Linked DNA regions of Caenorhabditis elegans. The protein of the gene in region 2 purifies or fractionates together with the protein of the main gene of each other region. This does not show direct contact. Each region holds a gene or a part of one and is shown on either strand. Other genes may lie near its edges.

The links.
Region 1: the proteins of aaim-1 (region 2) and C32E12.4 fractionate together in Caenorhabditis elegans (co-fractionation; one large-scale study listed by BioGRID). This does not show direct contact.

What each region holds. Positions count from the first base shown.
Region 1 is NC_003279.8:5,238,906-5,243,837, reverse strand, and holds the start of C32E12.4 (Ubiquitin carboxyl-terminal hydrolase), read left to right. Parts: upstream 1-1,923; 5' UTR 1,924-1,962; coding exon 1,963-2,081; intron 2,082-2,816; coding exon 2,817-2,971; intron 2,972-3,061; coding exon 3,062-3,140; intron 3,141-3,250; coding exon 3,251-3,518; intron 3,519-3,896; coding exon 3,897-4,124; intron 4,125-4,167; coding exon 4,168-4,263; intron 4,264-4,318; coding exon 4,319-4,786; intron 4,787-4,932.
Region 2 is NC_003284.9:6,558,966-6,564,432, forward strand, and holds aaim-1 (Protein aaim-1), read right to left. Parts: upstream 3,464-5,467; 5' UTR 3,402-3,463; coding exon 3,365-3,401; intron 3,322-3,364; coding exon 3,260-3,321; intron 3,219-3,259; coding exon 3,145-3,218; intron 3,095-3,144; coding exon 2,852-3,094; intron 2,414-2,851; coding exon 2,287-2,413; intron 2,242-2,286; coding exon 1,762-2,241; intron 1,707-1,761; coding exon 1,527-1,706; intron 1,479-1,526; coding exon 1,232-1,478; intron 703-1,231; coding exon 605-702; 3' UTR 501-604; downstream 1-500. Other genes in the region: Tyrosine-protein kinase receptor svh-2, read left to right, coding at 1-130; dop-3 (Dopamine receptor 3), read right to left, coding at 5,339-5,441.

The sequences.
Region 1 (4,932 bases), on a different chromosome or scaffold from region 2:
AGGTCAGTTTTTTTGATTAAACTGGAAGCTTGTAGCACCTAGAAAAATTATATTATTAAATTCTGGAAGCGCTTAAAATTTGAAGAAATCCGAAAAGTTCTAGAATTTTCTAAAAAGTTCTGGGAATTTTTTAAAGAAAAACCTGGAAAGTTGTAGAATTTTCTTGAAAGTCCGCAAAACTCCAGGAGAATGTATAACTGTACAAAAATGCTACATTAGCACTTTAAAATTCATTAAAACAATTTAGCGTACGCCAGTCGGAGCACGCGCTTTGCGTGTGCGAACGGCTGGTATATATAAAAGTGTGTGAACAAGATATTCCATCGTCGAATCGTACATTTTGAAATGCCAATAGTTTTTTTTTTGAACAATATTATCATTAAGAGGTCGTGTTGTGTCAGGTGTCGTCTTTCAATCTTGAAGTAATGTCCGAAACATTTTGCTCATTGCGGTTGTAACCCCTTCCTGTGTCTTGTCTCTGTGTCTCTGAAGATTGTACATCGCACTAATGCTCACTGAGCACCACAAAATGAATTGAAAAGATAGGGAAAGTGTTCTGGAGGAGACAGGAAGATAAAGAAGACAATTTCATTTCGTTTCTTATACTCCCTCACCTTTAGTTCAATTCTTCTTATATCACTTTATCACATTGAAAACTGAGTTTTCTTTTATTAAAGATGGTATAGTGGGGAAAATGCTAAAATTACTTTAATAATCCTCAAATTGTCAAATGTCATAAAATATTTTTGAGCGTAATCTGAAATATGTTTATTTACCACCATAAAGTGGATATTACTTAGTTTTCATCGGTCATAGTTTTGAGAGTCGACCAGGAAAACCATTTTTTCTGCAGGTTTAAAATATTAATGATGTTTTCATTATTCGTATCAGGAGGTGCAAAAGCTTGAAAGCTTTACTTTTTACTTGACGTGCTAGAAAATGATTGAAGATTTTTGCTTGAAATCCAACTCAAGCAAAAATAATGCCACAAATATCCGGTTTGCCGTTATTTCATTCTTTTTTCTAGAAAGTTTCTTGAAGTTTATACAGTTTGATTAAACAAATAACGTTCAAAAAGATTGATGTTTGAAAACCTGACTTTGCGCTTGATTTTCATCTCTTATTCATATTTTGACATTTGACATTTTTGCACTTCGAACATGCAAGAAAACTCTGAGTTTCTCAGAAATTTTACGAAAATTTGTAAATTTTCCAAAGTTTTGACTCTAACCAAGTTTCAGACAAATGTCATATTCAAGTAGAGAAAGTTCCAGTTTACGATACAGAAGTGGAAGTGTTGAGAGGCGATCAACAACATCTTCATCAAGAGATCCTGCACCATATCGAACATGTTATGGAGTTGAAAGGGGGCGTGTATGTTATTGAAATTAGGTTATTTTATGTCAAAAATTATCTAGGAACTTTCGTATCTTAATTGAAATACGACATTTTCAAACATATTTTGAAAATTAATTTTAAAAATTAGATAAAAATACACAATTTGACAGTCAAAACTACGTTGAAAAATTGCAAATTATGAAATTTCTGAAAAATGTCAAGCTATGAGAGCCACTGAAAACATGCCCACATGTTTACTGCATTCTCATGTTGTGGCAGTGGTTTGGCAGAAGAAAAGAGCCGATAAAGTTGTCAATCACCTGATGTTCCTCCCATGACTCAAAGAATCTCAGTTGGCTCCCGCATTCTCAGAAAACGTCTTATTTTTTGTTTTCTCACCTTTTATCATATAGCATTTATCGAGTTAAAAAAAAATTTGGAAGTTTTTTTGTGATTTTAAAATTGCCAAAATGCCAATCTGAAATAGTTTTCAAACGTTATGAAGCTGATATTTTTTCAAACATAAATTGTAACGCGATAATTCGTTTTAAAATTTTAAAGGTTGCATATTTTGAAACATTTCAGTCTCGAGATCTTCCTTCAACTACAAAAACAACAACAAGAATGCCAAGAGCAACATCATACGATCCATTTGCTTCTACAAATCGAGCAAGTTCAGTTATTCGAAGTGGTGGTCTTTCGAATAGTGACTATACACCCAGAATCAGTTCATATACAAGCAGGTGGGTATTGGAGAAATTTGACGTTCATTGGAGTTTCCAATTTTCTAAATATATAATAATTAACTAGAACTTGAGCTTTATCACAAGAACAAATAAATGAAAACTTTTGTTTTACTATTAGAATAGATGAACTAATTGGAGGTTTGTAAAGTTTGTCTTATACATTTAATTAAATGCCAACGGAATTTGTACAGTTCATCAAAAACTACAGTGTTTTTCAAATATTCATTTTTTAAAAGGTGCTGATAGATTGTTTTTGATTTCCTTTTGAAGAAATTTCAGCTCACTTTCAGATTTCCGAATGAAACAAATTTAACAGCAAATGAGCTCTATGAACTTTTTTCAAATCGATCCTAGTCTATCATAAATCTATTAATTAAAAATTGAAAATTTCCAAAAACTTCCGTGATTGTTCAACTACCTATAAAATTAAATGTCTGCGAAAATCCACGAATGGACAATTTTACGAGCCTCTAAACTAGAAAAGAAAATGTTTTTTTGACATTTTTCCAGTTGGAAATGTTTTCAATTCATTCGGAAGTCTAAAAACGAACTGAAATACTTTTCTTGTGAGAATGCAAAAATTTAAAATTGATTTTTTTAGAAATTATGATGAACAGAATTAATGAATATGTTTGGGGTTTCCCACGAGATTCTTAATCAAACGGCCCGAATGTGAGCCAAAAACAATTTTTATAAACTTTTCCCTCATATATTGTATCAAAATTATATCAGATATGGTAGTACTGATCAGCTGAACTCATCGTCTTCCTCCTCTTATCGACCGACGTCATACCGTGCCGGATCAATCACTTCTGGCGGAAATTCTAGTAATTCCACGTCATCATACACTCCCAGAAATGTCCGAGCTGGAAGTGTGAGCATTGGAGGTAATTGATATTCCAAAACTGATTGGTCATTTCGTCTTTTTTTTAAAATTTAATTGTATCCTGTCCAGATGTTTCACACATGTTTTGCAGCCTACGACCCTCCAACGAGTCGAGCTGACTCGGTGTCCTCATCATCCACTTTTTCAAGATATCGACCAGATAATTCTGTGTGAGTAAAAACAACGGTTGTCGGATGTAACTATATTATTTTTATTTTTTTCACCATTGATGATTGGAAGTATTATTTGAAACTTCTGCTAGTAAATTAAAGTTTTCCAGATCCTCCACCTCAACCTACACCCCAAGTTTGTCTCGCTACAGATCCACTGATCTATCCAGTACTTCTGACTACTCTTCAACCAAATACCGTAGCCCAGACAATAGCTACAGTAGTCGGCGCTCATCTACAATATCTTCTGGAAACTCAAATCGATATTCAAACTCCCATAAAACACCGTCATCTGTATATTCTTCAAGAACATCCACATCCAGCTCATATAGAAGTGACAGAGATTACAGATCAATGAGTAGAGCAACCGATAACGAGGTAAGTGAAGAAAGAAGAGTGTGTAGTGCTTAATTAAAGGCGCACGGGTTCATTCGGATGTGTCTCGCCACGAGAAAAAGTTTATGATTAGAATTTTTTTTTGCCGCAGTCGCTTTTTTGACCTTTGTACTTTTCTAAAATCCAAAAACGGTAATTCTTAACAAAATTTCATTTAAAAAATTCGAAAAAAAAAGCAGAGATAAACCATTATTAAAATAAGCTGTTTTCGTGGCGAGACCGAGTAAAATTGCTAAATATCGTTAGTTGTACTGATTGTGAGACCTACACTCCGCAGGTTGACACATGTGTGCAATATGCCGGGCGATGATGTAACCTACGTGGATGACTTAATTTTTATCAAACAACAATTTTCTTCAGGATGAAGTAGACGAAATTGAAAGCACTTTCCGAAAGTTATACAGGAAATATGTCACGGATAGTGAACCAGATTTATCAAAAGTTGGAGGAAAAGACGACGAATCTTTGGCAGAAAAAGTTTCTCGACGTTTTGAATCAAAAAGTGAAGCTGAAGATGATGATGATTCAATTGCTGAAGAGGACGAGGATGATGTGTTGTCAAAATATCAAACAAAAGGGTTGAGAAGGGTAGGTAATTTATTACTAAAAACTATTTAATTTCTATTTTCAGGCAAGCTCAGCGAGTTCAATAACTCCCCGTGCGTCTGTATGCAACTCTCCTAGCAAAGATGTTACACCAAAATGTTCACCATTACCCGCCAGAAAAGTCAGTTTCAAAAAATTACTTCATATATGCTATAGCTCTAATTCTAAAATTCTAGGAGATTGCAACTGTGGTAAGATCGGAATCGAGGTCAGTATCTCCAGAGATGAAACCACTGACCAGAAGTTTTCAAATGGAGGCGTCTTTTGGAGTTTCTGCTATTAAGAAAAGTTCAGTAGAAGAAACCAAGACGTTCGAAACTGAGAAATCTCCTGAAGTTCAAAAAGCTACAGAGCCTACTGAAAAGATTGATAACTTCCAATCAACCCCCGTGACAGCAGTTCCGAGGGGCGTTCCGAATTTGGTGGATACAAGTTCAGAAGATGAGGAGGAAGATGTTGAAATCATCAAACCTATAGAACAACCTGAAAAAGCATCAGAAGTTCTAGTAGAGCCAATCAAAAAAGTAGTGTCATCTATCAAAATTAATGGAATAGAAGTAAAAGATGTTGAAAAAACGAAAGAAGATAAAAAGGAAGTTGATTCAAAACCTGTTGCTACGAACATTCAAGATGTTCCGACGCCCGTAAGAATTCGAATTCGTAGTGATAAATCTCCATCAAGGACCAGAGAGGTTTGTGTCAGTAATTGGTAATGGTTCTAGAGCTTCCAAAAAAATGGTTCTAGAGCTTCGAAAAATTATACCTTAAGCTGAAGCTGAAATTTTAGTAT
Region 2 (5,467 bases):
CTGTCAAAACGATACTAACGATTCCAAAACTCTTGCCGAGCTTCCATCCGACAGTCCTTCAACTTCAACTGCAATTCCACAGAGCACTCCTTACCAATTATTGAGTGAATGCTCAGAGACATCGGTCTAAGTCATCCAAGTTCACGAGGTAGATTTCTGTTAGTTCCGCGTTCAGTTTCAATATTCATGTAAACTTTTCTTCCACGACTTTGTAATTGCGCACCACCTTTCGTCCCATTCATTTTCAATATGAAAATCAATCAAAAGTTATTTTTTGCAATCAATCCGATTCTGTCCCGAGTTACTGGTACTTTCTTTGTGATTTGTATCCTTATGAATACTTCTTTTTGCATTTGTATTTTCCATCTTCCGTCTTATTGCTCCAGCGGTTCTAGTTGACAATTTGTTTGCGGGTTTGATACACATATACTTTTCTTTTTTCATCCTGTTCTCCTTTTCTATGTACTTTTTTCACATGGAAGTAAATCAATCAAATTGAAATGAGCATATTTTACAGATAGAATAAAATAAAAATAAAAAAAAACAAATGATGACATGAAATAAATAAATGGCATAAGTTAAGTGGCAATAGGGAAGAATACACTTAATTTTTTTGCTGGTGAGGTTGAATTCTGTTGATTTCTTCTCGAATTCGAGGTATCACATCCGGTGAAAATTTATGAATAGTTGGAGCAACGGCATCTGCAATTAGTTGTACTATAGAACTTTTTCAAAAACAATTTAAAGACTTTTAAGGCATCAACAGTGGAGAATCTCCATACAGAAAATAAAATAAATTAATGCAGCTTTGCTAAATCAGTTAACACTTTATATCATCGTCAGTACAAAAATTGATCTGAAGTCCTTTTTAAAATCTTTAAAAGTTGAAAACATTGTATAATTTGGTACATTTTCAGACCATTAAAGAATGAGCTTATGGGAAAATGAATAACAGTAATTTCTACGATGCTAACATGAAGTGCAGTGATGCCGGTTTTTTCGGCACCTACGTCGAAACCCTAATGAAATTTTTTGTCTAGAAAATATAGTTTGTAACAGTGATGCATATCACGTTTAATTTTAAATGCCAAATGGTTTTTTTTAGTTTTAGCCTAAAATGCAAAAACCAATATTCTAAATTTCAGCAATTATCTTACTCCCTCAAAAACTTCAGTATTGCTCCTGAAATCTTTATACATTCATGAACTCATTAATTGGTGTCACAACAAACCTATGATAGTCCGCCATGGGTCATTGTGTGCCATTTCCTTCTTTGTTTCTGCGAATGCACTTAATGCTGCAGAGAAGTAGTTGTTTGCCTGGTTTCCGAGTTCCGTGAAATTCAACGAGTTTGATTTCAATTGGCTGAGAATTGGGCTCACAGCTTCTAGTGGCGAACTGATCAATGGCGTTGGTGTAGCGAATTCAATTTCCGGTGGTATATGTGATGGTGTCTTTAGATACCATGGGGAGACGAACTAAAAAACAAATTGAAATGAATAAAGCAAATAAAAAACAAAACATACAACTCCTGGTGCCTTTGTTGGTTCCTGCTTAACTTCGTCATCATGCCAATTTATTTCAACTCTGAATGGTTGTGTAGAAGTCTGCTCAGCAGGTAACTTGAAATTAAATGCAACTGGAGGGGAGGATATTACTGTTTCCGTAGGTTTAACTGGTGCTAAAGCACTTGTTAAAGTAGACACCTGCAAAAAGATAACTTTTTTTTTTTGAAATTTTCACTGAAATAAGGGCACTAACCTGAACAGCGTCTACTTTATAGTTCCATGGAACGTACGTATGTTTGTCAACGACGGGAATAATTGTTCTGGTCGTTCTGATGATATCGTTTTTCAATGTATTTGGGTTTTTTGTGGTATACGGGTTTGGCAAAAACTTGTGCACAACTTTTGGCTTTTGAGTGGACGTTGGTTGGTTCATTGGAGCGCCACGTTCATCAACAATCACAGTTTTTATAACAGGTCCATTCGATTGAGAAGTTGTTGGCCGTGGTTTGAATTTAGAGTTTGGATCAGTTCTTCTCATGATTGGAAGACTAGTCCTCGTGACAACTCCGTCGATTACTGAAGGAAGTGCGGGAGGATGAACGGTTACATAAGTTGTGGAAGAAGTCGTTTGTGCCACCAGAGACTCAATAGGTAACCCTTTTTTCAATTCCGATTCCGGTTTTTTTCTTAGATCATATTGGCATTGCATTGGATATTCTTTGTTAGTTAAAACCTTTAATTTTTTTCTTTGTGGGAGGTTGTTAAGTTTAGACGGTACCTGTTGCATCTGTGCAAAAAATTGAGCAGCTTCTGCGGTACATTTCTTACCAATGTTGATATAAGTGCAAGTTGACACTTCCGAAAGTTCGATTTTGCTCACGCAGTCTGGTCGGGTACACATTTCTCTGAAAAGTGTGTTTTGTGACTTACAATAATCAAGTAATGTTTATTTTCTATTATTGCGGCATGTAGTACTCGTTTCCGGAATTTCCTCGACTACTAATTTTCGAGTGCTTAATTTAAAATGGAGAATATGACCATTCGCTTACAAAAAAGTAATATCTTAAATAGAAAATCATAAAAATTGTGAAATATCGTTACAGAAAACACGTTTAATTAACAACGTTATTAATTTAGTGCAAAACTATGAAAAAGGCTCATGAAAATATCTTTAAATTGTTGAAACTATAAGGATGCTTCTCGTAAAAAACAGGGGTGCAGTACTAATAGAGACTGAAGTACTACTGGAGTCTACGATACTAATTTTTAGAAGGCCTTGAAGGGTGCAGTATTAGTAAATATGCCTTACTACTGAAAAAGAAAAAGTACCTATATATACTTACCTGCATGATTGCAGCTTATCCGCAAAAACCGTATCATTTCTGTTACAAACCGATGATTGCGGTTCTGCTAGCACATCCTGAATGCATTTGCTTCTTCTCAAGAAGATCTTCTGTCGTTGTAGAGAAAATGGAGCACATAAATATGAATGTAACCTTTTTCCGCGCTCTAGTTGGGTTTTTTCAGAGGGTTTACCGCACTGTACCATTTTTTGATCAAAACACGGGAGGATGCGACTATAGGTTCTAAAACATGATTAGTTTTAGTTTGGTACTGGTTCTCCTAAATTTCAAACCTGCAAGTATGCATTAGCTTTGCTTCTGTCGTAATATTGAAAATAACTTCAATGGGATTCATATTGAAGTCAACCTAAATATGAATTTTAAAATTTTATTCCCAAGAATACATACCTTCTGAGCGCTAAGTTGCATTACACACGGCAAGAAATCCTTTAGTTGACAGCATAATGAAGCTATAAATGTAATCTTAAGAAATTGCTGTAGTAAACACCTCACCTGTGTATAAAATGCTGAAAAAAAATAATAACCTCATCAGTGGACTTCTGCTTATTAAAATGACTTCTTACACCCGCAATGAAACACGCCTGTAAATCTGCAAAATAAAATCATTGGAACATTGAAAGAAATTAAGCTATAAATGCCAACATCAAAGTACAAATGAAGTGCAAGCCGAATTGGAATGCGGTATGCACAAGTGTGGAATTATTTGGAAATGAATAGAATGACTCAGATTACACACGTGCGTGCAACCGTAAAACGACGGCATACCATCAACTACCGCGTGCTTCTCACATTGCTCGGCCCACCAAATAAAGGCAGACTTGAGAGGTGTTGAGCGGCTGGTCGCTTAGACAGTCGGGGTGGTGTCAATCTCAGCGTCTCGTCTGGCTACTTTCCATCGCGTTCGGTTTTGGCCCTACCTTTTTCTAGTTCCTACCGTAATGTCAATATTGTGTGGCAACGGGTGAGCAAGGAAATGCAGAAACCGGGAAAGAGGCGGTAGATCGACGGAAAGTGAGTATTAGGGTGTTGAATTGATTGCGTGCTCATGGCGCAGACGATACCTTGGTTTTTGATCGGACGCAAAATGGAGATGAGCGCGAAAAACCATGGCGTACGAAAACTATGTCGGGCTAGGCTGTCTGTCAGCTGACATAAGCTGTTAATGCACTGTTTGGCAAACAAACTTCAGGAAGTGTGAAATATGAAATTATCGCCTGATTCAATTGGATGAGTTTTGAGTTTTGATCTAGGTTTATCAGCGAAGAGCAAAAGTGTCTAATACACGGGATATTCTAAAATGACAAGCACAAGTTTCCAGTAGAACTCAAGTTTACCACAAAAGTACGTATGACATGAAATTTAATTTTAATAAAATCTCAATATTAATGCAGGTTTTACTTACCGATGTTTTTCAAGTTTTCATACTTACATATGAAAGGAAAATTCACTAATGGCTTCAATGGCAGTTTTTTAATACATATATTAGTTAAGGTATTAGTTCGATAGGTGCACGAAGATTACAAATTTGTTCCCATCGCCTCCCATCGACTCAAAATGTCTATTTACTATTAAAAATATGCACAATAAAACAAAAAAAAGCAAACAAACAAGGAAATTAAATAAAACCAAGAAAAATTTAGCAAAATTTAAATCTCAAAATAGGTATATTGTGATATTTTTTGTAATGTTTTGAATGATTATAAATTTTTTTAAACACATTTTCAAAAAGTCTCACTATGAGAGACTTTTTGAAGTGTTATGAAATGTTATCTATTGAAAACATGTTGGGGTACTGCTTATACACAAGTTACTTTTTTAATAACCGAAACTCGTTGGAAGGTCTTTCACAAGTTCAATATTCAGTCGGATATTCCAGTCTGAAATTATAATTGTTAAAAATCGAAACAGTTGAAATGATAATCCTATTGCTTCTAGTTTTACTCTTCACCTCTGAACTTCAGCCGAGTCATCAGCCGCACAGCCCTACTCTGAAGATAGAGATCAGTTTTTTTGTGCATTTCCAAACTAAGAAAAAGCAGGGATTCGTGATAATGTTGAAGAACCATCTCAACACTACTTACATGTAACCTGACTCTGTTCGAAAGTTGACCGGAAGCCCCCGGTACATAAACAACATGACCTTCCACCCGCCATGAGTAAACATTCCACTATTTCAGACCTCTCACTTTCTTACACACGCCCTTCAATCTCAATAGTGTTGAATGGAGGAAAACGGTCAGACGGGAACAGTAATGCTCTTTTGTATCCATATCGCCCCTTTCTGGGAGACGGCACGATTAGCAAACCGAACGAAGAAATTGGATACGGTAAAGTTGAAAAACTAGAGTATCGTTTTATTTTTAAAATAAATAATTTTTTCGAAATTTGAACGTTCAAAACGATCAGTAAGGCAATGACACATAAAGTTTCCATACAAATAGAATAAGAAAATAAAATATATTAAGATCATCTTTTTTTGAATATCCCGCATGATAAAATGTTCCGGAAGGCATTTCGGAATCTTTGGTCAAAAACTGTGTAGATCAATGGATTGAGAGAAGAATTGAGACTGAAATTAATTATTTAACAGAATGT